Linked DNA regions of Arabidopsis thaliana. The protein of the gene in region 3 interacts with the protein of the main gene of each other region in a pairwise test. Each region holds a gene or a part of one and is shown on either strand. Other genes may lie near its edges.

What was found.
Region 1: the proteins of CASP (region 3) and AT2G16595 interact in a protein complementation assay, tested with the Arabidopsis thaliana proteins (one large-scale study listed by BioGRID).
Region 2: the proteins of CASP (region 3) and WAK3 interact in a protein complementation assay, tested with the Arabidopsis thaliana proteins (one large-scale study listed by BioGRID).
Region 4: the proteins of CASP (region 3) and PAP3 interact in a protein complementation assay, tested with the Arabidopsis thaliana proteins (one large-scale study listed by BioGRID).

The regions. Positions count from the first base shown.
Region 1 is NC_003071.7:7,196,438-7,200,905, reverse strand, and holds AT2G16595 (Translocon-associated protein (TRAP), alpha subunit), read right to left. Parts: upstream 2,780-4,468; 5' UTR 2,544-2,779; coding exon 2,480-2,543; intron 2,374-2,479; coding exon 2,221-2,373; intron 2,142-2,220; coding exon 2,091-2,141; intron 2,006-2,090; coding exon 1,920-2,005; intron 1,502-1,919; coding exon 1,424-1,501; intron 1,336-1,423; coding exon 1,132-1,335; intron 1,048-1,131; coding exon 976-1,047; intron 868-975; coding exon 820-867; 3' UTR 521-819; downstream 1-520. Other genes in the region: ROC3 (rotamase CYP 3), read right to left, coding at 1-44; AT2G16594 (Bifunctional inhibitor/lipid-transfer protein/seed storage 2S albumin superfamily protein), read right to left, coding at 2,824-3,132; AT2G16592 (Bifunctional inhibitor/lipid-transfer protein/seed storage 2S albumin superfamily protein), read right to left, coding at 4,330-4,468.
Region 2 is NC_003070.9:7,432,343-7,437,376, reverse strand, and holds WAK3 (wall associated kinase 3), read right to left. Parts: upstream 3,143-5,034; 5' UTR 3,075-3,142; coding exon 2,198-3,074; intron 2,097-2,197; coding exon 1,938-2,096; intron 1,865-1,937; coding exon 675-1,864; 3' UTR 547-674; downstream 1-546. Other genes in the region: AT1G21245 (Protein kinase superfamily protein), read right to left, coding at 35-535; WAK5 (wall associated kinase 5), read right to left, coding at 5,031-5,034. UniProt on the Arabidopsis thaliana protein: Serine/threonine-protein kinase that may function as a signaling receptor of extracellular matrix component. Binding to pectin may have significance in the control of cell expansion, morphogenesis and development.
Region 3 is NC_003074.8:6,334,849-6,342,288, reverse strand, and holds CASP (CCAAT-displacement protein alternatively spliced product), read right to left. Parts: upstream 5,598-7,440; 5' UTR 5,366-5,597; coding exon 5,263-5,365; intron 4,863-5,262; coding exon 4,752-4,862; intron 4,633-4,751; coding exon 4,454-4,632; intron 4,372-4,453; coding exon 4,222-4,371; intron 3,999-4,221; coding exon 3,910-3,998; intron 3,823-3,909; coding exon 3,713-3,822; intron 3,594-3,712; coding exon 3,499-3,593; intron 3,402-3,498; coding exon 3,346-3,401; intron 3,247-3,345; coding exon 3,081-3,246; intron 2,964-3,080; coding exon 2,871-2,963; intron 2,739-2,870; coding exon 2,610-2,738; intron 2,487-2,609; coding exon 2,367-2,486; intron 2,247-2,366; coding exon 2,166-2,246; intron 1,738-2,165; coding exon 1,630-1,737; intron 1,528-1,629; coding exon 1,384-1,527; intron 1,295-1,383; coding exon 1,193-1,294; intron 1,103-1,192; coding exon 1,023-1,102; intron 936-1,022; coding exon 843-935; intron 754-842; coding exon 693-753; 3' UTR 501-692; and 1 more. Other genes in the region: ILR2 (iaa-leucine resistant 2), read left to right, coding at 1-371; AT3G18470 (PLAC8 family protein), read left to right, coding at 6,591-6,645, 6,756-6,827, 6,912-7,124, 7,228-7,289. UniProt on the Arabidopsis thaliana protein: May be involved in intra-Golgi transport.
Region 4 is NC_003070.9:5,056,597-5,061,671, reverse strand, and holds PAP3 (purple acid phosphatase 3), read right to left. Parts: upstream 3,090-5,075; 5' UTR 2,993-3,089; coding exon 2,705-2,992; exon of another isoform or gene 2,287-2,704; intron 2,200-2,286; coding exon 2,043-2,199; intron 1,947-2,042; coding exon 1,839-1,946; intron 1,743-1,838; coding exon 1,615-1,742; intron 1,312-1,614; coding exon 1,183-1,311; intron 1,089-1,182; coding exon 1,021-1,088; coding exon of another isoform or gene 1,017-1,020; exon of another isoform or gene 907-1,016; coding exon 684-906; 3' UTR 532-683; downstream 1-531.

The DNA.
Region 1 (4,468 bases), on a different chromosome or scaffold from region 3:
CCACCGACGGTCATGTCGAAGTAGACTTTAGGGTTTGTTGCCATTTCTTTTTTTCTCTGAGATTGATTGGAGAAGAAGATTAGGTTCTGTGATTGTGTGAAAGAGATTAGGGTTTTGGTAGTGTTTTATAAAGAGAAGGAAATGATTTTTGTGACCGTTGATTTTGACACGTGGAGGAAGATTGAAAGGGTTCGTGTTAACTGTGGTTAGTGTTGAATCTAACTAGGGTTAATAGTTGCGTGGATCCGAGGCAGAGAGAGAATATTGTGTTTTTTTTTTCTCTACCTTTTTACTGGATAAGATATTAAGTAGTCGTTTCATTGATTTATTTACGGGCCAGGAATATTAAGCCCAATGTCGTAAAAAGAAGCCCATTGGTTTGGAGATAAATAAGAGTTCCGATAATGTACATGTACTTAGCCCAAACCACTCTTAAATAATTGTAGAGACTGAGAGGATTAGCTTCATAGAGCATCATAATAGTCTAATGACACAACTCTCATATTTTAAACCTTGGATTATACGATATAATTTCCAAATACAAAATTTCAACCTATATTGTTAATCTAATGATTATTCAACTTTTCTTTACTATATACATGAACTTTCGAAAGAGAATTATCATTTTAAACAAAAGAAAATAATCTTGACAAATTACAAAAGTTAAAGAAAATTGTTTCCTTGCAACATCTATAGCTAGAGAGAGTAAAGAAAGCATTACAGATTCTGTGAAGTTATCTCTACCAACAACTGCAACGTTACTATCGTTCGTGTGTTTTCGGTTTCTTATCTCAAGCCCCCTAACAAAGCGTGTGAGATCTACTTCTTCTTCTTTGACTTACTCGAAGATTGAGTGTACGAAGTACCCTGCATTACACAATACATTGAGAGCAATGTATCAATACCAAAATGTTCAATACATTAAAAGTTAAAACCCATTATGGAGAAAGTTATTAGGTCTTGTGCAACGAATACCTCAAGCCATTCATCATGCGAAGCATCTTTAGTTGCGGTTCCAACTTCAACTTTTGGTGCTCTCTTTGTTTTCTGCGCAAAGCATTTTCACAGTAACCATTCTCAAAGTTAGTACCATGGAATGAAAGTGCGATAAGATAGCGAAATAGGATGTACCTTGGTCATATGCTTCAAAACATTTTGGATATAGATGGCGAGAAAAGCGATAACAAAGATTAAAAGACCACTAAGGAAGACTGACTCCATTCTGAAGAGAGGACCATCTTCAACAACTTCAATAGTTCCATTATAAAAGATGCTTTGGTATGGCTTACCATCTATCTCATAGATGATGGTGCCAACAAAATCAAAAGCACCCGCCTGCACGAGCAAATGGTTACCTCGGATTCTATTCTATATTTTAATGTCATCTTGGAGACTAGAAGAACTATATGATTAACAAACATACCTGCAGGAACTTGCTGACAGCAAAAGCATATGGCAAGGTAGCTTGAGCGGAAGTTGGCACAGACGCGTTGCTGAAACTCTACATTTAGATGATTCGACAAAATGACCAAATAATAAGTAGCAAACTTAAAGAGCAAAGGCCAGAAAAGGAAAAGAGGAGAAAACTCTATATTCAGCAAAAGCCATTGTAAGATTCTATATCTAGAAATGAAATGGAATATAGCTAGAGCCAAAGCAAGTATCTGGTATCAAAACATAAATGATAAAGATTAAAGGCTAGAGAGAGACTTTCTTGCATTTAGATACAGGGATGTAACAAGTTCAGGTATTGTTACTAAACCATGAATGACCTAACAAAGAGTGCATAGTGTGGAGTAACATGAGATGAGACAAAACAGGCAATGAAAAGAACCTAACAAAGGGAAAAACTAATATGGAAAGACAAGTGAGATCACACAAGCAATAAATGTGAGAAGAAGCAAAAGATGATTAATTACCAGAGCAGTGAGATTCTGAACAGCATTTTGATCAAAAGGAAGATGTAAACTGCCTTTAACAGCAACAATATCTACATTGGATTGACCTATTCATATAACCCAACCACAAAGTTAGAAACTTTATAGCTAACTTTGCAAGTAATCATTTGATAGAAAAATCACTTTCATTACCATCATTTTTCATTCCAACAAGCAGCTCAGTCTCAACTCCAGCTTTTATTACTACAGAAAATCAGACAAACCAAATTGAGAAGAAGCCTAATTTCAGAAATTAGATTAAAAACAGAGTAAAAATCTGTACTTTTTGCACTGTTCTTGGGGAAAACGCAAAGGGTTTCAATTCCAGGAGCTGAGGTAAGTTCCAAACCAAAAACTTCCTCTGCATCACTCTCTTCTTCACCAACATCAGAAACTTCGAAGCCAGAATCTTCCGAATCCGATTGGCACAAAGCAACTAAAAACAAACAAAACCCATCACAATGAATTCAAACAAAGATCATGTGAACAAAAACAGAGTAGAATCAGCAAATGAATGAACAAGTAGAAGAGAAAGGTGTTACCTTTGAGAAAAGGTGAGACAAGTAGAAGGAAAGCGAAGAAGAGAAGTCTAAAACTTGTCCTCATGATGGTTTTGAGATTGGTTTAGTTGAATTGATCTTCGTGGGTTGAAGTAAAAGGGCGAAGAAAGCAAGAAGACAGAGGTGCTTTTGTCTTTTGACGTGTTTATGCTTTCTTCACCGACGTTGACGAAGAACGACATATGAATGTGAGTGTGTGTGCAGATCGGATTTTGTAAACGACGTCGTTTTCCGACTTACCAATTTAGAAACACCTTGCCCATAGGTGTTATAACATTTTAGTACAAAGTGTCATAATTATGGCCGAGGAACATAACCTATAACCCCTATATTTTTGGACAATTGGGGACAGAAATATGGCAAAACCAGAATATTCTATGAGCAGCTGCGTTTAGATTCTGTTCCTTGGCCGTAAGGAATCTACACATGCATGATGTTGACTTTTTCATTTTCTCACAACAGCCTTTAGGCAGTTTGCCTCCGTGACCGTTAACTAGAAAAGGTTGGACGCAAGCTAGAAGATCCAGATTGCAAAATGGTAGCTCTTTTTTTGCACCAACGACTTTGATCGGAGAAGGAAATGATGCTAAGATCATCATGATGATGGCTATGAGTATCCATGGACTGATCTTCATTGCTAATGTATTAGTAACTCGAAATTACAATCAAAATAAGATGAGTTTACTTTGTAGAAATTAATAATCTTTGTTTTCTTCATTTTTTAGATGTCTTTAAATAGAAAATTGAGAAACAAAACAATATGGGAAGTCGGAGAGATGGAAGGATGGTTGTCCTATTGTTAGCTCTGTTTATGTGGAGTTTTATTCATTAAGGAGCTCGTCACGTGTCGTCAGCTGCTCCACTATCTCCTAGATATAGGACCCCATGTTCGGTCCCGAACTATACCATATGAAAGTATAAACTAGTATAGACTTGGATGACCAAAGTTGAGTCAATTATAATACATGGTGAAGTATGTATACTAGAAAGCAAATTCTACAAAACTCAAATAGACAGGAATAATAACTTAAATCCATTCACAAAATATCTGCTTGAAGTAGAACTTTGAACCATCTTGAATGGAAAGTAGAATAGAATTGAGGCAGCCACGGGATATCCACCAATGGTTTGATCCACAGAATCTAAGGTTCGAAGCTTGAATGGTCGGATGGATGAAGGTAGTGATGGGGATGGAAGTTTTGAATGAATCCACACTCACCATAAAATTTAACAAATAGATTGCTACTTTAGTTGTGTTATACAACTGTACGGCTTCTCACAACATCGTATATATGTACGAATGTATTTTAGAATACTGCCTTTGAGGAAAAGTGAGGCAAGGAGAAGGAAAGCAAAGAAAAAATGTATGATCCTTGTCGTCATGATGGTTTTCAGATTGGTCTTAAATTGATAGTGGTGGGTTGAGGGCGAAGAACGCAAGAAGACAAAGGTGGTTTTGTCTTTTTGACGTGTTTAATGCTTTTGGTGTTGACGAAACGACTTCGTTTTCACTTGTCAATTTAGAAACAGATATTACTAGCAGAGATCGATAACTCGACTTTTAAGGTACCCTGGAAAATGCTAAAAAGTCACAGGATCAAGTGATATCTGGAACACGTAAAATGTCACAGGATCATGTTTCTGTGTGTTAGTTACAAAGGTGGATAAAGTATTAATAATAATTTTCGCTTAAATGGTTATATGTTTCTTAAATGGTTGTGTATTGAAGCTCAACTTGTGTCTCTCGAGCTTCAATCAATCATGTCGTAGATATAGTCGAGGAACATAACTTATGTATAAAATAAATTAAGAAAAAACCATAACCTATATCTCTAGATTTTTGGACAATTAGGGACGGAAATTTTGCAAAACCAGAATATTCTATGAGCAGCTGCGTTCAGGTCACGTTCCTTGGCCATTAGGAATCTACACATACATGATGTTGACTTTTTCATTTTCTCACAACAGCCA
Region 2 (5,034 bases), on a different chromosome or scaffold from region 3:
ATTAAACAATATACTTTTTAACAAACAAAATTTATCAGCGGCCAGCTTCAATGTCAAGCAATGCTACATTCTTGACGCTGTCATAACCACGGCTATTGGTATCGCCTTGGGAAGACACGATGTTGCTACCAAGCAAGTGTAAATTCTCCTCTCGATACTGATCCGACCAATTATGTTTGGTTGTTTTGACGCTCAAAGTTTCTAGCTCTACAGCTACTTCTTTCATCCTTGGCCTTTCTTTTCCCATTAGCCTTGTACACTCTGCAGCAATTCTTGCAGCTTCCTGGATCTCCTTCAGATTATCCTCGTTCAACACTTGGTCGTCAATAATCTCATGCAACCTATTCTCTTCCGTGGCAGAAACAAAGTAACTCACCAAATGTTTTGAAGCCTGTGGCCGTTCAAAGCACAATGCCTTTTGACCTGAGAGCAGTTCCATGAGGACTACCCCAAAGCTATACACATCGCTCTTCTCGTTCAGAAGCCCTGTGGTATAGTATTCTGGGTCTAAATAGCCTAGAGTGCCTTGCACCATAGTATACCAAGTAAAGGAAAATATGAACATGATTATTGATGATGAACAAACAAGCTCTCAAAGCATATTGATGAAGCAACAAATAAGTGGTTTTCTTTTTTTACAAACAAAAGAGATACATGTGATTTTGTGAGCAATATCAGCGGCCAGTTTCAATGTCCAATATTGCTACATTTTTGATGCTATCATAGCCAATGCTGCTACTGGTTTCGCCTTGTGCAGACAAGATGTGACCACCAATCAAGTGTTCATTCTCCTCAGGATACTGATCCGACCACTTATGTTTGGTTTTCTCGACCCTCAAGGCTTCTAGCTTTGCAGCTACTTCTTTCATCCTTGGCCTTTCCTCTCCCATTAGCCTTGTACACTCTGCAGCAATTCTTGCAGCTTCCTGGATCTCCTTCAGATTATCCTCGTTCAACACTTGGTCGTCAATAATCTCATGCAACCTATTCTCTTCCGTGGCAGAAACAAAGTAACTCACCAAATGTTTTGAAGCCTGTGGCCGTTCAAAGCACAATGCCTTTTGACCTGAGAGCAGTTCCATGAGGACTACCCCAAAGCTATACACATCGCTCTTCTCGTTCAGAAGCCCTGTGGTATAGTATTCTGGGTCTAAATAGCCTAGAGTGCCTTGCACCATAGTTGTGAGCTGCTCTTTATCCATTGGTATAAGCTTAGAAGCGCCAAAGTCGGCTACTTTTGCAGTTAAGTTTTCATCCAAGAGAATATTTGCAGTTTTGATATCGCGATGGATGATTGGAATAGAAGCAGAGGAGTGAAGATAAGCAAGAGTTCCAGCGACTTCTATCGCTATTCTGAGGCGGTGTTCCCATGTAAGAGAAGAATCAAAAATGGAACCGTGCAAGTGATCGAAAAGGGTGCCATTGGTAATGAATTCATAGACCAACAAGGGGACTTCAGTCTCTAGACAGCAACCCAAGATCTTGACCACGTTCCTGTGGTTAATTTGTGAAAGCACGAGCACTTCGTGGATGAACTGATCTACTTGTCTACTGTCTGCAAGCCGAGCTTTCTTTATAGCAACGATAGTGTTGTCCGGCAATATCCCTTTGTAGACTGTTCCTTGACCTCCCTGGCCCAAGATTCTGCTCTCATCATAGCCATTAGTTGCCTCTTTCATGCCTTCCTCAGTAAAGATTTTGAAATCAATGTTTGACAACCCTGCTCCTGAAAGTCGCTGTATCAACATGCCACCACCATTTTGCTCAAAGAATTGTCGTCGGAGCTTGGTATACTTCCTTTGCTTCGTTGCATGTTGTATACAGATCGCAGCAAGCAGGAGGACCAAGACGCCGATTATGATTACTGATAACATCATGCATAGATGATTAGAGCGAGTTGATTTAAAGAGAATCTAGAACCAGTGAAGAGTGTTTACCAAGAAAAATTCGAGTCCGTTTGTATTCGGGCCTCGTGCAGCTCATACTGGAGTTTAAGTCGTAACCAGATGGACACTTACAATCGAAGCCTCCATCCCTGTTTCTACAGGTTTTTGGATCCGAACAGTTATGTGTATCACTAATACACTCATCGATGTCTGACCAAAGGAATAAGTGCACAAGATGCAACCAAAAACGTATGAGGAAGATTATAAACACTCAAAAGAAGAAAGAAAGCAAAGAAATTAATATGAAGTACCTTTGCAACCCTCTGAACGGTATGGATTCCCATCATAACCTTCATTACATTTGCAGATATACCCGTTTCTAGTAGTAGAATTGTAACATGAGCTGTTCTTACCGCATATTCTTGTGCTTCCAGCTTGCTCACATGTCTGGTTTCCAATAGACCAATCTAGTGCCACAGGGAACCTCGTGACATTCCTCAGATTCTTAAGATCTTTTGAAGAATCGAAGTTAAACTTACCATCTTCAACGAGAAAAGCGTAGGTGCAAGGATTAAACTGATATACCGAAGTATTAAATAGATCTAAGGAATTATTAACTTGGTTTCTCAAGCGAACTGAGCCAAATTGGAATGTATCGCTATCGAACGGGACAGAGAAGTCCTCTGTTGTGCAGCAACCTACACCATTACATCTTCCATTTGCCTCTGGTTGAGAATTGCATAATGACAAGCATCCAGTTGAGTAGTTTTGCTTTCCAAAAGTGCTCAAAAGTGATAAAGCGTTACATCCTACTAAAGTAAACTTGTTGTTGGAGGAGAGAGAGAAACTACTACCCAGCTGATACCCGAGGGCAGTTCCATTAGTCTCATTTTTCTGCTCGTAGCATTCAGAGAATCGTTCAAACAGTACACTTACATGGCCACTGTGAGAAATATTGGTCACTTGAATGATGCCAAAGAGTAGTAGCTTCTCTTCCACGACACAGGTGAGATTGAAATTATCATCTCCGGGATAGTAACAACCTGTAGAAATACCAAAAGGGTACTCTATTGTGACGTTTCCACATTTAAGTTTACAATCTTCGCGAGGTTGATGTTGCCCCTTCACAAGCTGAGTATATGCAAGGAAGAAAATAACCACCAAGAACACACCCTCCTGGAACTTCATCTTCTACCTTTCTCTTTCTTTCTCTCTAAACTTGTTTCTCTTTGAGTTTTCTCTCATCGCTTATTCGCTTCTTATAGCTTGAAAAGTAACCCCTGATTTGACATTGTTGAATAATCAAATGTGAAGAAAAGTAAAGATTCAGACTACTAGACGTTAGAAAAATATAAATGCGTCAACTTCTTTATCTGTCCTTTCTTTCTTGTCTTGATTTTTCCAGGAAACTCCAATTTATTGTTCATATATGAAAGTCTCGTTATAGTGACAATGTAGGAATAAGACTCATCATGATCACAACATGCTCTGTTTTCTTCTGCTGTCGTAATAGTAGAAATATGTAGTTTTTTTGTGTGTGTGTGTGTGTTGAGTTTATAAATGTCAACAAGTTTTCGAAGAATTTGAATAGTTCTTGCCTCATGTGTCATGTCGCTGCTTACTCTTCAAGAGGTTATCTATGAGAAATTTCCATGCAAATCCACCACTTTGTTAGAAACTGAATCTCCTTCTAGAAACAGAACAGAGTTAAGAACAGAGAAAGAGAATCAGACTTTGTATCACAATTGGTTTGATCGTCAACATAACAATAAAGAGAAGAACTTGTCTTTCTATTATAGAGAAAGTGAAATACAACAACTGTTTTACAAGGTTTACAACAATTAACTTAAATACAAACCAACAGACATGAAAAGTCAAGAGTTATGACTCTTCTTTCTTGTGACACAACAAACATAACTACTTTAACTTAACAGACACGACACTTAAGTAATATATTACAAACCAAACTCAATTACGACCAGCACTCTTTCACCGAAAGAAACCAGATTCATTCAAAGAAACTGAGGGAAAATCTTGAGAAAAAACTGAAAATACACTGTTTGATGATTAAAATAATCTTTGACAGACCAGACTTAGAGATTTTAAGGGTATAGTAGAGGTAGCTTTCTCAATTTACTAAAGATCAGAGTTTTAACAAAAAAGGAAAATTTGATGGTTACAAAACCACAACAATCTTATGCAGCAAGAATGATAATTTAATTTAGAAAACGCAGTATTAAAATTTTAATAACAGAGCAATATATGAGTCAAGTTGTTTATCAAATAGTCAAGTTGTTCTTTCATACTTTCAAAGCCTTGTATCAAAAACGTTATTTTTCTTGAATATAATTTAACATTACATTCAAAAAAAAAAAAAAAAAAAAAATGTCAAGTTGTTCTTTTGGAGTTACGTACATACCACGCATCTTAAGTTAGAGATTTCTCGTTTACTAGTTTTTACTTCTCATGTAGTTGTGCATATGTTTGTTTATTACTGATCTAATTCCAAAATCATATGTTAACTTGTTTACATTTTTGTCTTCGTCTTGTTGCTCGTGGATATATATAATTGCATCTTTGTAATCATTTCATCATAATATCGATCACGTTGACGGAGAGTGCTTTTCTAGAATCCACCAAATTTTCTCATGTTTTCACTATATATATTACTTATGGTTAAAGATCATAAATTTTTAACAAAATAAGAAAACTTGATGGCTTCAAAACCAGAGCAATCTTATGCAGCAAGAATGATTTTGTTAATTTAGAAAACGCAGTATTAAATTATAGATGCCAGTACCAAAACAATATATGAGTCAAGCTGTGGATCAAATAGGATGTTTTAAGCAACTGAGCCCTTTAAATTCGAGTTATTGTTTTGCAACCACAACAGTATATCAATATCTCTGCTAGTAGATTCATGAATTCTTAATTTTTCTCATACCGAATCGTCTACTGGTTAGCTTACCAATCGAATGGAGTTATAAAATGAATAATTGATGATCTACAACGGATCTCTCGAGCATAAATGTTCTTGAATATCATGTTTTGATACTCTGTTTTTTTTGAAGTGTTAGGAAACATATAGGACATAAGCAATAAATAAGTGGCTTTACTTTTTCACAAACAAAAGATTGATAAATATCAG
Region 3 (7,440 bases):
CCGGCACCCTTGCTGACTGCTCTCCACATGGGTTGGTTGCTAACCAAGTCATGGTCGTTCTCTCTACCCCGGAACATCTTCCAGAATCACCAAATTGTATTGCTGATAAGCGTGCAACCTATGAGTTCGGTTACCAGCTCAAAAGCACAGTTCGCAACCTCCCTCCCCTTGCGGAAGCACTTGCCGCCTTCTCTCAGACATATATCAGGATGTTTCCTAACCATCCCTTCTTCGGGACGTTTGGGTCGAAAACTCTTGATCATGGCCCGTTCTGGAAAATAAGGCCTATTGGCTCCAGCCTTACCGATAACAGCTCCTACCTCACTATCCCATCGATTGTCAAGCAAGCATTCAAAGGCCCAGCCACGTAGGTGTTGTTGCCTAACAGATATCAAGCAACGACTTTCATTTTATTTTATTTTGTATTTGGATAGCAACAATTATTCCTGTCGGATTTGTTATCGTTTTGGTGCATTTTTCATGGTTATTTATGTTTCGAAGAAAAGTAAACCAGATCTTATTTAGATTTCTGCAGTTTTCTGAAGGAAGTTTTTTCTGTGGCTTTATATATGTATCGAGTGATTTGGATCCCTCTGTACAAATATTCAACCGTTTTAGAATTGCCCACGGAACACTACAAGGACAAGAAAGAACATAACGACCAAAAACGAATAAGTCCCTAGGGTGAGAGCTTAAAGACCGTGAGGAAGGTTTGTGGTTGCTTCTGTCATTAGAGTCTCCTCTGCTCCATGGCTAAACCATAAATAAAGAAGAAGAAATTAAATAAAATCAATCACATAATGGACTTGTAACAAAAACAAAAATTGGTGGGTTTGTTTTACCTGAGATAACTGTAAGCAGACATACGGTAGAGACAAGTGAAGACAAGGACGTGCAATCCTATTGTGTAGAAGAAAGCAAATGTCCTTGCGTATCTGAAAGATCCAATCATGAAATTGAAAATAACCGAAAATTCTGTGATCGAGTATGAATGTGAATAAACTTGAGAGCAAGAGGATTACTTGTTTCCTAGAAGGAACCGCCCACTGCTTAGCGTAATCCGATCTCTGATTCCCAAATCTTTGATCCGTTGCTCTCTTTCCTATCAAACACATATAAATAGGAAAGGGTTAATGTTTAGGAAAGAAATATAAGGCTTGTGTCGATGATAGCAGAATGTTTTATTTTTTACCTTTTTCGAGAATGCTGCAAAAGGGTTGATGTCATCTTCGTAAATTTTCTTGTATTTTGATTCGACATCCGAGCTGAATCCACTTTCAAGATCTTCCACATACTGAGATTGGAAAACGATATCAACCATGGAAAAAACCCGATCACGAGACAGAAAAGGTTCAAGGGAAATGTATCGCAGAAAACAAATACCTTTTTCGATCCTCGGGAAACAACTTTATCATGGTTATAGTCTTGGACATAACGGATTTTCCCATAGAGTTTGACGTTGTCTGCTTTGGTCTTCTCCAATTCGTCTGTGAGAAAACCTATCTTCTCTTTTAATCGCCTTATTTCCTGCAATGTTAAGAGAACACATAAAATTCAGTTCAAATAAATTTAACTGGAGATAGAGAATACAGAGGGAAGAGGATCATTTATATGTACAACTAACTGTACCTCTTCTGTTTCCCGTAATCGTGCTCGGAACCGATCTCTTTGGCTGCAGATAACTTTTAGCATTGAGCTTTGATCTTGCTCTGATGGAACATGTTTCTGATCCATAGGCTAATAAAAGGAAACACAAAATGATAAAGAGCAGTAGTTAGTGATAAGTCTAATTGTGAGGTATATAATATACCATATCATGGAAATACCCTTAGTTGTATGAAAACTTTTTAATGGTTTGACAAGAAGTTCAGAGGTATTTTGCTTTTGAAAAAAAAATAGATCATGGTAAAATATATACGTACCACGATTCCCTAGCAATATTTTAATTCACGCCATAAATAGAAGGCAGAGTGAGCATACATGTTAGACCGTTAAGATTATCTAGTAGAGAACTTAAAGCGATAGGTTACTGTTTATCTAACTCTTAGTTCTGAACGATTCCATCCTTTCTTTTACTTTTGGGAAAATTTTCCTGCTTTAAGAGTATTGCATGATAAATTACACGACTCATTGACTCATATATGCACAGGGCCAGAGAGAAGTACCTCAGACTGCTCAGCCACACCTGCTTCTGAGAACTCCCATTCATCAAATAGAGCACCTTTTCGCTCTTTTGAACCGTAACCCTGTGTAACAAGTAAATAAGGTTTCAGTATAATCAAAGACTTTGATCGAGTTTCTCCTCCTTAGTAGCAGTAGCACAGATACCTTTTAACTTAAAATGGTAACTACACACTCTTACGTACCTTCAAAATATCATCCTCCAACTTTTGTATCAGTCTTTGTTGTTCATTAACCTTAGCTGTCAGTTCTTCTCCCTTGGCTTCAGCCTTCTCAAGCAAGGAAGCTTTCTCAGAAAGTTGAACCTGGGAAAAGAAGTGGTGTGAATCGACCAGTGACTTTACTTGTGTATGTTCACTGAAAAGGGAAAGAGTAACGAAAAGACAGAATTACAGATGGTGGTGGTTCATTCCGTAGAGGTCATGTACCTTTAACTGAGTGACCTCATGTTCCATTTTTCTGTTTTTATCAAGAAGAAGCGACTCCATTTTGCTCATCTCTTCACCAGTGGTAGCAGCATCCCAGTCTTCAGCCTCAATTGAATTGTAACCTACAGCCTAATATGCAACAATGATATTACTACATACGATCGTACCGTTACCAGAAAGAACAAGGTATGGATCTGTGGCAAGAAGTTAATAAGAAGTTAAACTAAGTGAGCACCAAAAAACACTTGAAATGATGAATACCTGCAGAATTTTCACTTTTTTGCGCAAATCATCAACTAATTTTGCTGATGGTCTTTCTTGAAGCTCTTTCTTCATCTCTTCAATGATAGTATCCTGGTTTAATACCAAATGACGGTAAGCTAATATTAGACATTGAAGGGACCGGAAACTAATTTTCAGAACAAAATATAATTTCTCAGCATAAAAGACAAAACATAGCACAAATTTCACCTTTTTATTGAGCAAAGAATTCAATTTCTTTATCTCGGCAACATGACTTTCTCGCTCATTAGCTAAAGCTGTCTCAACATTGTGAATCTCCATATTAAGCTCCGAAATAATCTTCTCTTTTGCAGTTAACGAGTTCTCCAGCATACTATTCGAATCAATATTATCACTGTAGAGAAAGAGCATAACAAAAAAATTAAAACAAAGCAAAAACTTAGATAAAAGTTATTTGACTCCTTGTTATATGGACGCATAAGTGTCACCTCACCTTTTCTTGTTATCAGTATCTTCATTAGCTGTTTGCAGCTGAGAACGCAGATGTCCCTGTTACAAACCAATAAACAAAATTAGAGAGCTAAAAACGGTGGTTTATCTTAGGGCATTCCCTTAATTCAAACAAAGAGAGCATGATATGAAAGACCTTTTCCCTCTCAAGAGTAAGGAGTCGGGTCTGAGCACGCTCCACTTCATCCATCAATAGACTAACTTCAGATTGCTTCCCCGCGGTCTCTTCGTCTGATGGTTTAGACAAAGGTGACATATATTAACAAGACAAGAAGGAACAATATGTAAGGGAGACCATTCCAATTATGAAAGCACAATATGAGTCACCATATTAAGGCTCAATGCACCACCTGATTGAGCACGGAGTTCAAAAAGTTGGTTCTGTGCTAACTCATGCAATTTTTGCATAGTGGAGACGCTGTCTTTTGCTTGCCTTAACTGATCTTGCAAAGCTTGCTCCCTGTTAAACAGTGAACAAGGAAAGGTTGGTGCTTCCTCGAAAACTTTCTAAACACCCAAAGCATGCAGAAGAGAATTTTTTTTTTACCTATCCTTTAAAAGCTCCATCGTTTTCTGGTTTTCCTCAGCCAGATTTCGTTGCTTGATCTCAACAACTTCTTTGATTTTTTCTTCCATCTGAATCCAAATATAACAACTCGATATCACTGCTAATCTTCGACAGTTATTCGTTACAAGATCACAAAATAGCATCTCTATATAAATCATGCTTATGGCTCAGTGTATAAATTTGCATTTGACCTCCTAGAATAGACTGAAAAATAATCAAGGAAGCTGTGCTTTACATTCATTTAGTTTTATCCCTATATCAATTAGAAGAAGAGGTTAAAAGCAAGCTGACCTGTTGCTCAAGCTGGCGGTTCCGTTCTTCAAGCCTTCTTATTGTGGCCTGCTGATTTTTAAGATGAGTCGCTTCTGTCCTAAACTCCTCAAGTTCAACTTTCATCTTTCGATTTTCAGATTCCACTTCAGATAATTTACGATCTTGCTCCTGGAATACAGCAATTAGTTGGTTCTCAGGCTAAAGGACTTTAGGTGTCTATTATGTTAACATTAGATAAGTGGATAATTACAGCAATAGAAGCAAGAGCAGGAAACGGATCAGGTGCTTCATAGAGTTTCTGATAGATATTTAGGAAAGCATTCTCCCCAAACTTGGCCCTCTTGGTAATATTATCTACTTCTTCTTGATATCCCTTGAGGAGGGAATTAAACATACTAAGTTTGTTCTCAGGCGAAGCTTTCTTGAAGTCTGTTGTTACCAAGATAAACCAAAGAATATGTTAACATCTCTTCGCTGGAACCTATCGAGGTCCCTCAGGAGAAAATGTTGAAGTGTTAAGCAATATAAAAGGTGAAACAAAAAAGTACCTCGTGTGCTCTCTGCAAGCTTTCGGCGATTCTTTTGGCTGTTTTCTTGATTTTCAGCTATTCTAAGCCCTTGCTCGTCAAGCAGGCTTTTCTCCTTCTCCAAATCAAATTCTGCAACAAGTAGTTTAAAGACAAGTAAATGGATCATTCGGGAAGAGCTTTCTTCTATGATGATGTCTATCAAAACAGCGAGCAACCACAGAACCAGTTCTCTAATTGAAACTGGTTTCGTATAACAAATACAAAAGCCGGAGAATCGAGATGAAACTAGTTATCAGTACTGAAAAATGTGTTGATAACTTTTAAAGCAATAAACTGAAATTTCTCAATCCGATCACATTAAACTACCAATGCAATCTCCCCGAACATTCAGTGAGAATCTCATTAAGTCTTACTACTTAAACGGAATCCTAACAAACGAATTTCTCCTAACTACAAAAACAAGCTCATCCTCAGCTTCACTACGAGTCGAAGAAAACGAATAGATAGCTAGACATAATCTGAAACAAACCTTTCCAGAAATTGGTGACGACAGGAATGGGAGAGGAAGAAGAAGAAGAAGAGGAAGGAGGAGGAGTTTTATCTCTTTCCGATCCATCTTGCGAAACCTCCATTGTACTCGTATTCGGATCCCGATCTCGTTTCTCCGAAGAACACAAGCAATACTTCGATACGAAGAAAGTTTCTGGGAAGTGATTTCTTCTTCGAATCCGACGAATGAATTAATGAGTTTTCTTATTGTTGTTTTGTTGAATTTTTACTACTCCGATCGGATCTTCTGAGTTCAGATACATTAGAGTTTAATGGTGGTAGAAGCGTAATTCTTATTTATTTTTTTGTTATGAGTGTGATCCTAAACAGGCTTCAAAAACGTAAGGTCCAAAAGATATAGAATAACCAATGGGCTATTCCTTGCGCCATTCATAGGCCCAGTATTGATTTAGTAGAATAAATTCATGTTTATTGCACATCTAAGTTGAAAACATTTGTCAAATTTTGTTATGACTATTATTAATTAATAAAATTTTAAGTTTAAATTCTAATTTATTTCACTGGTTAGAAAATTTTAAAAGTTTATTTTTTTTCCTTCAGTTCTTTTCTTTGTAATTTGTTAGTATTAAGTAATATTACTTTACTAATAAAACCAGAATATTACATTAGATATATTTTTCAAAATTTTATTTTAAAGTTTGCAAGTTTGATTCCTTATATAGAGGAATAATGTTTGAACATATTATCTCTTATCTACAAATAATTTTAATAGAAATTTTATGAATAGAAAAATGTTGAATTTAATATTTTAAAATTTAGCATAGCCTGTTTTATTTTACTTTCGCATTTTTAGGATGTATATTTCTTTTTTATTCATAATTTCTTTAATTTTCTTAGTCATTAAATTAAATTCTTTGTATCTTGTATATATGTGTGGATTAAACCAATCCCAAAAACGCGTTTACATATTACTTTTAAGTAGCTTAAAATCTCTCACAATCAGTAAAATCTCTCACCTTCCTTAAACAAAAATCAATTTTCAAAAAACCTTCCTCCTTTTAACAAAAAGTGCAACGTACTAGTTTTAAAAGTCTTTTACTCTTTTTTACAACTTTTATGATTTTTCCCAAAGTGCAATGTACTAAAAATTAAACATTTGTAGATCTCTCGAAGCGATCCACCATCAACCATATATATACCCACCCACCCTCCATTCTTAAAGCATCTAACAACAAAAATCTATCTTCAAAACCCTAATTAATTGATTTACGATCTCGCTTATCAAAAGATCGATCAACACAAAACTGGTTAAAACCTGACGCAAGATTTGGTTGAAGCTACTTTACAATGGAAAAGCAATGGACTTCTGGTCTTTTCAGCTGCATGGAAGACAGTGAAACTGGTAGAAATTCTATATAAATTTAATCAAGTTGTCCTTTAATCTTTATACATATATAGATCTATTGTCAGGATTGTATAATGATTTGTTCCTTTTGGTTTGTGCTGGATAAGCTTGCCTCACATGTTTCTGCCCATGCGTCACTTTCGGACGGATCGCGGACATTTCCGACGAAGGAAGGACCGGTAAGCCATACATTCACATATGTCATATCTAAACAATGTGTGTGTGTGTGAATTCACGTAACGTCGTATATATAATGTACGTAGGTTGTGGGAGATGTGGGGTATTTTACGGGCTAATATGTTGTGTGGTCGGCTTACCTTGCTTGTTCTCATGCACTTACCGGACCAAGATCCGAAGCAAATTCGGGTTACCGGAGTCTCCAACTTCGGATTGCGTCACTCACTTCTTTTGTGAATGTTGTGCTCTTTGCCAAGAACACCGTGAACTCAAAACCCGTGGTCTTGACCCCTCTATTGGTAAATTGCATTGTTTTGTGGACTCACTTTCTATTGAAATAATTAGTGTCTTTCATACGTTTGATTAATTATTTGATGTAACTTTATTATTTTTATGTGATAGGGTGGAGTGGAAATATGCAACGGACGATGGCTCCTCCTATGAGTCAGCAGATGATGGGTTGATTAAGAAGATTTCTGATTTGCAATATGATTTGAATTAAATAAGTGGTTCACGAAAACAGCACTTTTAAGTGTAGTTTTATATTGAGCTAGCATATTATTTTAAATTCTTTTTCAGATTTTATCAATATTGTTTATTTTGATATGTGAAAAT
Region 4 (5,075 bases), on a different chromosome or scaffold from region 3:
GTAAAATAAGATAAGCCTTAATAGAATGACTATTATATTTCTTTTGGGAGATAATTTTGGTATGAGCAAAAGTGTTCTTGCGATCAAATATGAGAGATCCGGGGCTTGTGAAATTATGTGACAGAATCTCATCCACAACATAGAGTTGTATATCATTTATCTTATCATATAATCCATAATTCACTATAACTTATCTATATATATTACATGATTGAAGAGAATCTGAGCACAGGACAAAAGACATGTAACAAAATCATTATCTATCTTTATAGATGAGAATCGGACCCATTTTGTGTCCCTACAAACTACACAAGAGTACTGTATGCACGCATGCTTCGGGAAAACTTGTTAATCAAATTGGATAAGAATAACGAAAATTAATTAACTTAATTAATATGGAAGCGTAAGAGAGGATGATATTTACATTTTAATATGCTTAGATTCGATATGTATATACAGTATATGCATGCAGTATTTCTAGTTAATCTCACATCTTACAAATTTTCAATAATATCTTGTTTGAAACTGTACTTTTACGCAATAAAGATTTCATTGACTTTTTTTTCTGATGCTGCTGATATGTTCTTGTCATATCATAATGTGATTCGAAAATTCGACGAAGTACGATATTGATAATTTCATAGTACATCGATCATAAACAATTACGTCCGATTAAATTGGAATCAAGAAGCGAAATAAAGCGCCTCCTTGTAAGTCTTCTTCCAATGATGCAGAACGTGTCCAAAAACATCATAAAAGACTACACGCAGTTCAGCTTCTGAAACGTGAACCGACATGAAACCTTGTCCGTCGTAGTAAAACCTCATCTCTTCTGGTTCAACGTAGTTCACGTCACCTCCTTTCCAGGCCTTGGATCCACCTCCACTTGTCATAAATTGTATGTTACTATATGCAACCAAAAATGGTGACATTTTATATCCTCCCGTACGTGGACCCTTACGTTACAATAATTGATTAATAAGAAAATAATTAACGAACAAATAAATAAATTTATTCTACCTGTCCACGCTGCTTATGTGCTCTAAGCAATGATCATGTCCGTTTACGTAGAGATCCACTTCATTTGCCTAGTAAATCGAGAACAAAAAAAACAGATTTAATTAGATAGATTTTTTCTATTGGTGCATAAACTTTATTATATGAATGGAATGGTTTTGTTACTTGGAGAATAGGTAAAAGGTGTTTCTCCAACTCAATGGTGTTCCCGTGGTGGCCTGCGCTTTTGATCGTATGGTGACCAATCACTATTTTCCACTTTGCGACTGACTCTCTCAACGCCACGTCGAGTTCCTATATTATTACATTATAGCTTTCGTTAGTCACTCGCTCGTAAAAAGAAAAAAAGTTGCATTGGCAGATTGTTCTCTAATCATATCGCATTACATACCTAATTAAAACGCGATTCCATTTGAAAATAGACAAAATAAAAGCTGCGTTTAACATCCAATCATAACTTTATAAAAAAATCCAATCATAACAAAAGAAAAAGGAATGTTTTGCCCAAAACACGTATATAATGACGTTCCTAAGTTAATATTAATTCTATTTCGACGAAAAAAGAAAGAAAGGAAGATTTACTTAAAAAATTGTTACCTTTAAGAGATTATTCAGATATGTTTGCCTAGGTAATACACCGCTCCAGTCATAAACATGCTTATTTGGTTGAATAAAGTATTTATCGACGAACGGAGTTGTGTCGACGAAGAACAAATCGACGATCTCTGTTCAGTTAACGAAATTAACAAAAATAAAAAAATAATTGGAGGATTAATAAAATATTTCTAACTTTTGAAGAAATATTATATAGGAGGAATTACCAGCATTTACAATGAAAGATCTCATGCAAACCCATCTGTTGTCCAGAGCTCTGAGCATAGGGCTAAGTTGTGCCCTGACGTCACCTCTATAATCATGATTTCCTAAAACTTTAGGTTAAAGAAAATGTAATTAACACATTGAACCACATATCGTTTAATAATTAAGATCCAACGACGAATGTACACATTGAACCACACATTTACCACTATACCAAGGTTTCTGCAAGCTCGGAGCGGTATAAATGTTGGTAAAAGAATCTTGAAATAGAGGATCGTGCAAGCTGGTTAAACCATTGTCGTAAAAATTATCTCCAGTAGAAATCACAAAATCGATATCTAATTTCTCTCCGATTTCTCCCATCTGTTTAAATTTCGTGTGAAATAATTTAGCATAAAATAACTAAAAACAACAGTATAAAAGAAAACATCAAACTAGCATAAAATTTACCACATTGAGTTCATCTGCAAAACAACAGTACAAACAAAAATCATATGTAGAATATCTTCGTACACTAAAGCTGTTTTCTTAACACAGACCGAATCTTTCAAGTTCCTCTAACATGACTTTCTTTCTTTTTATGGTATCTTATAACATGGTGTTCAAGAATTAGTAATATATATTGAAATTGAATAATAATAATAAAAAAAAGAAAAAAAAAGAATAATATAAAAACATAAGGGCCGGCATTAATATGAAGACCAGTAAATTTGATCCTCATATCACGTATGCTCTTGAAGGCATACGCATATATATGTTTACGTAATACGTATTAATTATACACTATTGAATTTGCATTATATATTTATATATATGCGTACAGGCGAGAAATATAGTAAATAACTTGTAAATGAAAATAAGAAGTAACCTGAAGAGCTACTTGGGACTGATTATAGGAGCCTCTTCTTCCCCAGTCTCCGATAACGAGAAAGCTCACTGTACCATCGGTTTTTGATGGCTGCAGTAGCCTGCGGAGCTCCGCCGTGGAACTATGGGAGGAGAATATAATAATCAAATTATAAACGTAAAATACCAAATTTACAGGTTTGTGTTTTAAGGTAGCCATTGAGAGATTAGAAAAGCAAAAGAGGAAGAAGATAAGGAAAGGAATGGTTGATTTTGTTGTGATCTTTGTGTCTCTATATATGTAGGTCATTTCGAGGTTGATAAATATGAATAAAAATTATTTGCCATTTTGAGAAATGTAGTCCATTTTTGTTTTCTATTTCAATCTTTTGATTTGTCAATTTTATTACAATAATTTGAATCGGTAATTTTTTTGTCACCCACTTTTTCAGATATTTATCAATAACGAAATATAATGACAAGATAAATTTAAATAAAATAAATAGCGGTTGAAAATTAGCTGTTGAAATATTTTAAACATAAAGAAATTGGATATTGACAGTTTAAGGATATTTGAAAATTTCTATTATCAGTGAAAATATACGTAAATTTCTACTACATTTTTATTTCTAACATTATACATAAACATATTATCTAAATTTGGATTATGACACATCAAACAACAGTATGCATACAAACTATTATTACACCGTGAATTCTGATCACACAAATTCTTTCTAAAATCGCATTTTAAAAACAAAATATACTTGAAAAAAATAGAAATAAAATTTACGAAGCTCGGGTATGTGCGTTGTCATACAAGAAGAGTAGAAGACAGCATAAACGCCCATGCCACAAATTTGTCGGAAATTGCAATTATTAGCTTTGAGTCACATTATTGATGTGAGTCTAACGAAAACTTCCAAATTCTCTCAATTATTGTTGACCGTTAGTTATTTTACAGTATAGTTCTGAACATAAAATAATGTGAATAGTTTACTAAATTCGTTCAACATATTAAAGAAAAATCAAAATCCCATTTATACAAAAATTTGAAAGTATATCCTTACTGGATATGAGAAAATAAATGCAAATGGGTTGGCCTATGTTATTGGGCCGATACCCATTTCTCTAATGAAAAGAAAGATCTATAAAAACAAACTTCTGCTTCTCGACTAGGACATTAATTCTGAGGTATGACTATGAAGGTATCATATTATTTTGTAATTCTTGGCCAAAACTTGTCACCTGTGTGTTTGTATGTTCTTACAAAAGAGAAAACTAATGAGCATTAACTTCTGCAACGTTTATTTTACATGTTTGGTCTTATTGCTGATTCAGTCTAGTTCGTCGAGTATTTTGAAAACAACTTGAGGAGTTAATCAAAAGAAACAAGCTTAATGTGGTATATATGTTCCTTACGACTATAGTTCCTATTAGTATGATGTAGTCAGCAAGATTGACTTATGATGACTATAGAAACTTCACTGAATATCTCTGGTGGTCCTAGACAGTCACAGTGTCCTACTGTATCTTTAGTTTGGTTCGCCAAGTCTAGTATCGGACCGTATAGATAGAGAGATGTCAATTGTGTTTATGTGTTTTTTTTTTCTCTCTGAAGCAAATTGATTGATCGATTTGTCAGCAATTCCTTTCGAGTCAAAAGTTTTGACCAACCAGCTTCTTCGTGAAACTCTCTAGCTGTATTCACACATACACACACACACCTAACAAAATTATTGAAACAGTGGGTTTGATGTAAAGCCTAAATCATTCAACCACCTCTCTCTATTTCTTTTTTGTTCTTTTTTTCTATGCAACATATGATTATATATTAGATCCATGTGATATTGCTTGAGTCTTTAATTTAAGGCTTTATAAATAGAACAAATATAGGCCTTTTTAGGTCAACACGTGTGTGTGGAAATGATGCTAATGCTTCCAAAATGAAACAGAATAATGTCGTCATGAGCTACTCATTTACAAGAGGATTGTTTTAGTGTTGGATTGGCTAATAGACTTGGATCGATATCTATAATATAGACCATATATATAATATGTTTAGCCTAAACAATGATATATATGTCATGTGACACTTATGTGTTTTAGCAATCACTAAAATAATGCAAACATTAATACATGTAGGTGAGTTGTGAGTTCAAATAATATTAGTCAATACTCAATAGTCACTGTAATTGATATTTTGAATGGCTTATCCTATGAAAATTTAGTACTTTCATAGAGAGAAAAAAAAAACAAATGTTAATCTAAAGACGACAATTTAGATTTTAGCAGTCGCACCAGAACTAGTACCAGGAAACATAAGATAATATATACAGGACTAGCTACTTCATTATCTTTACGTAGTTTATGACAAAGATTGTTGTATAATC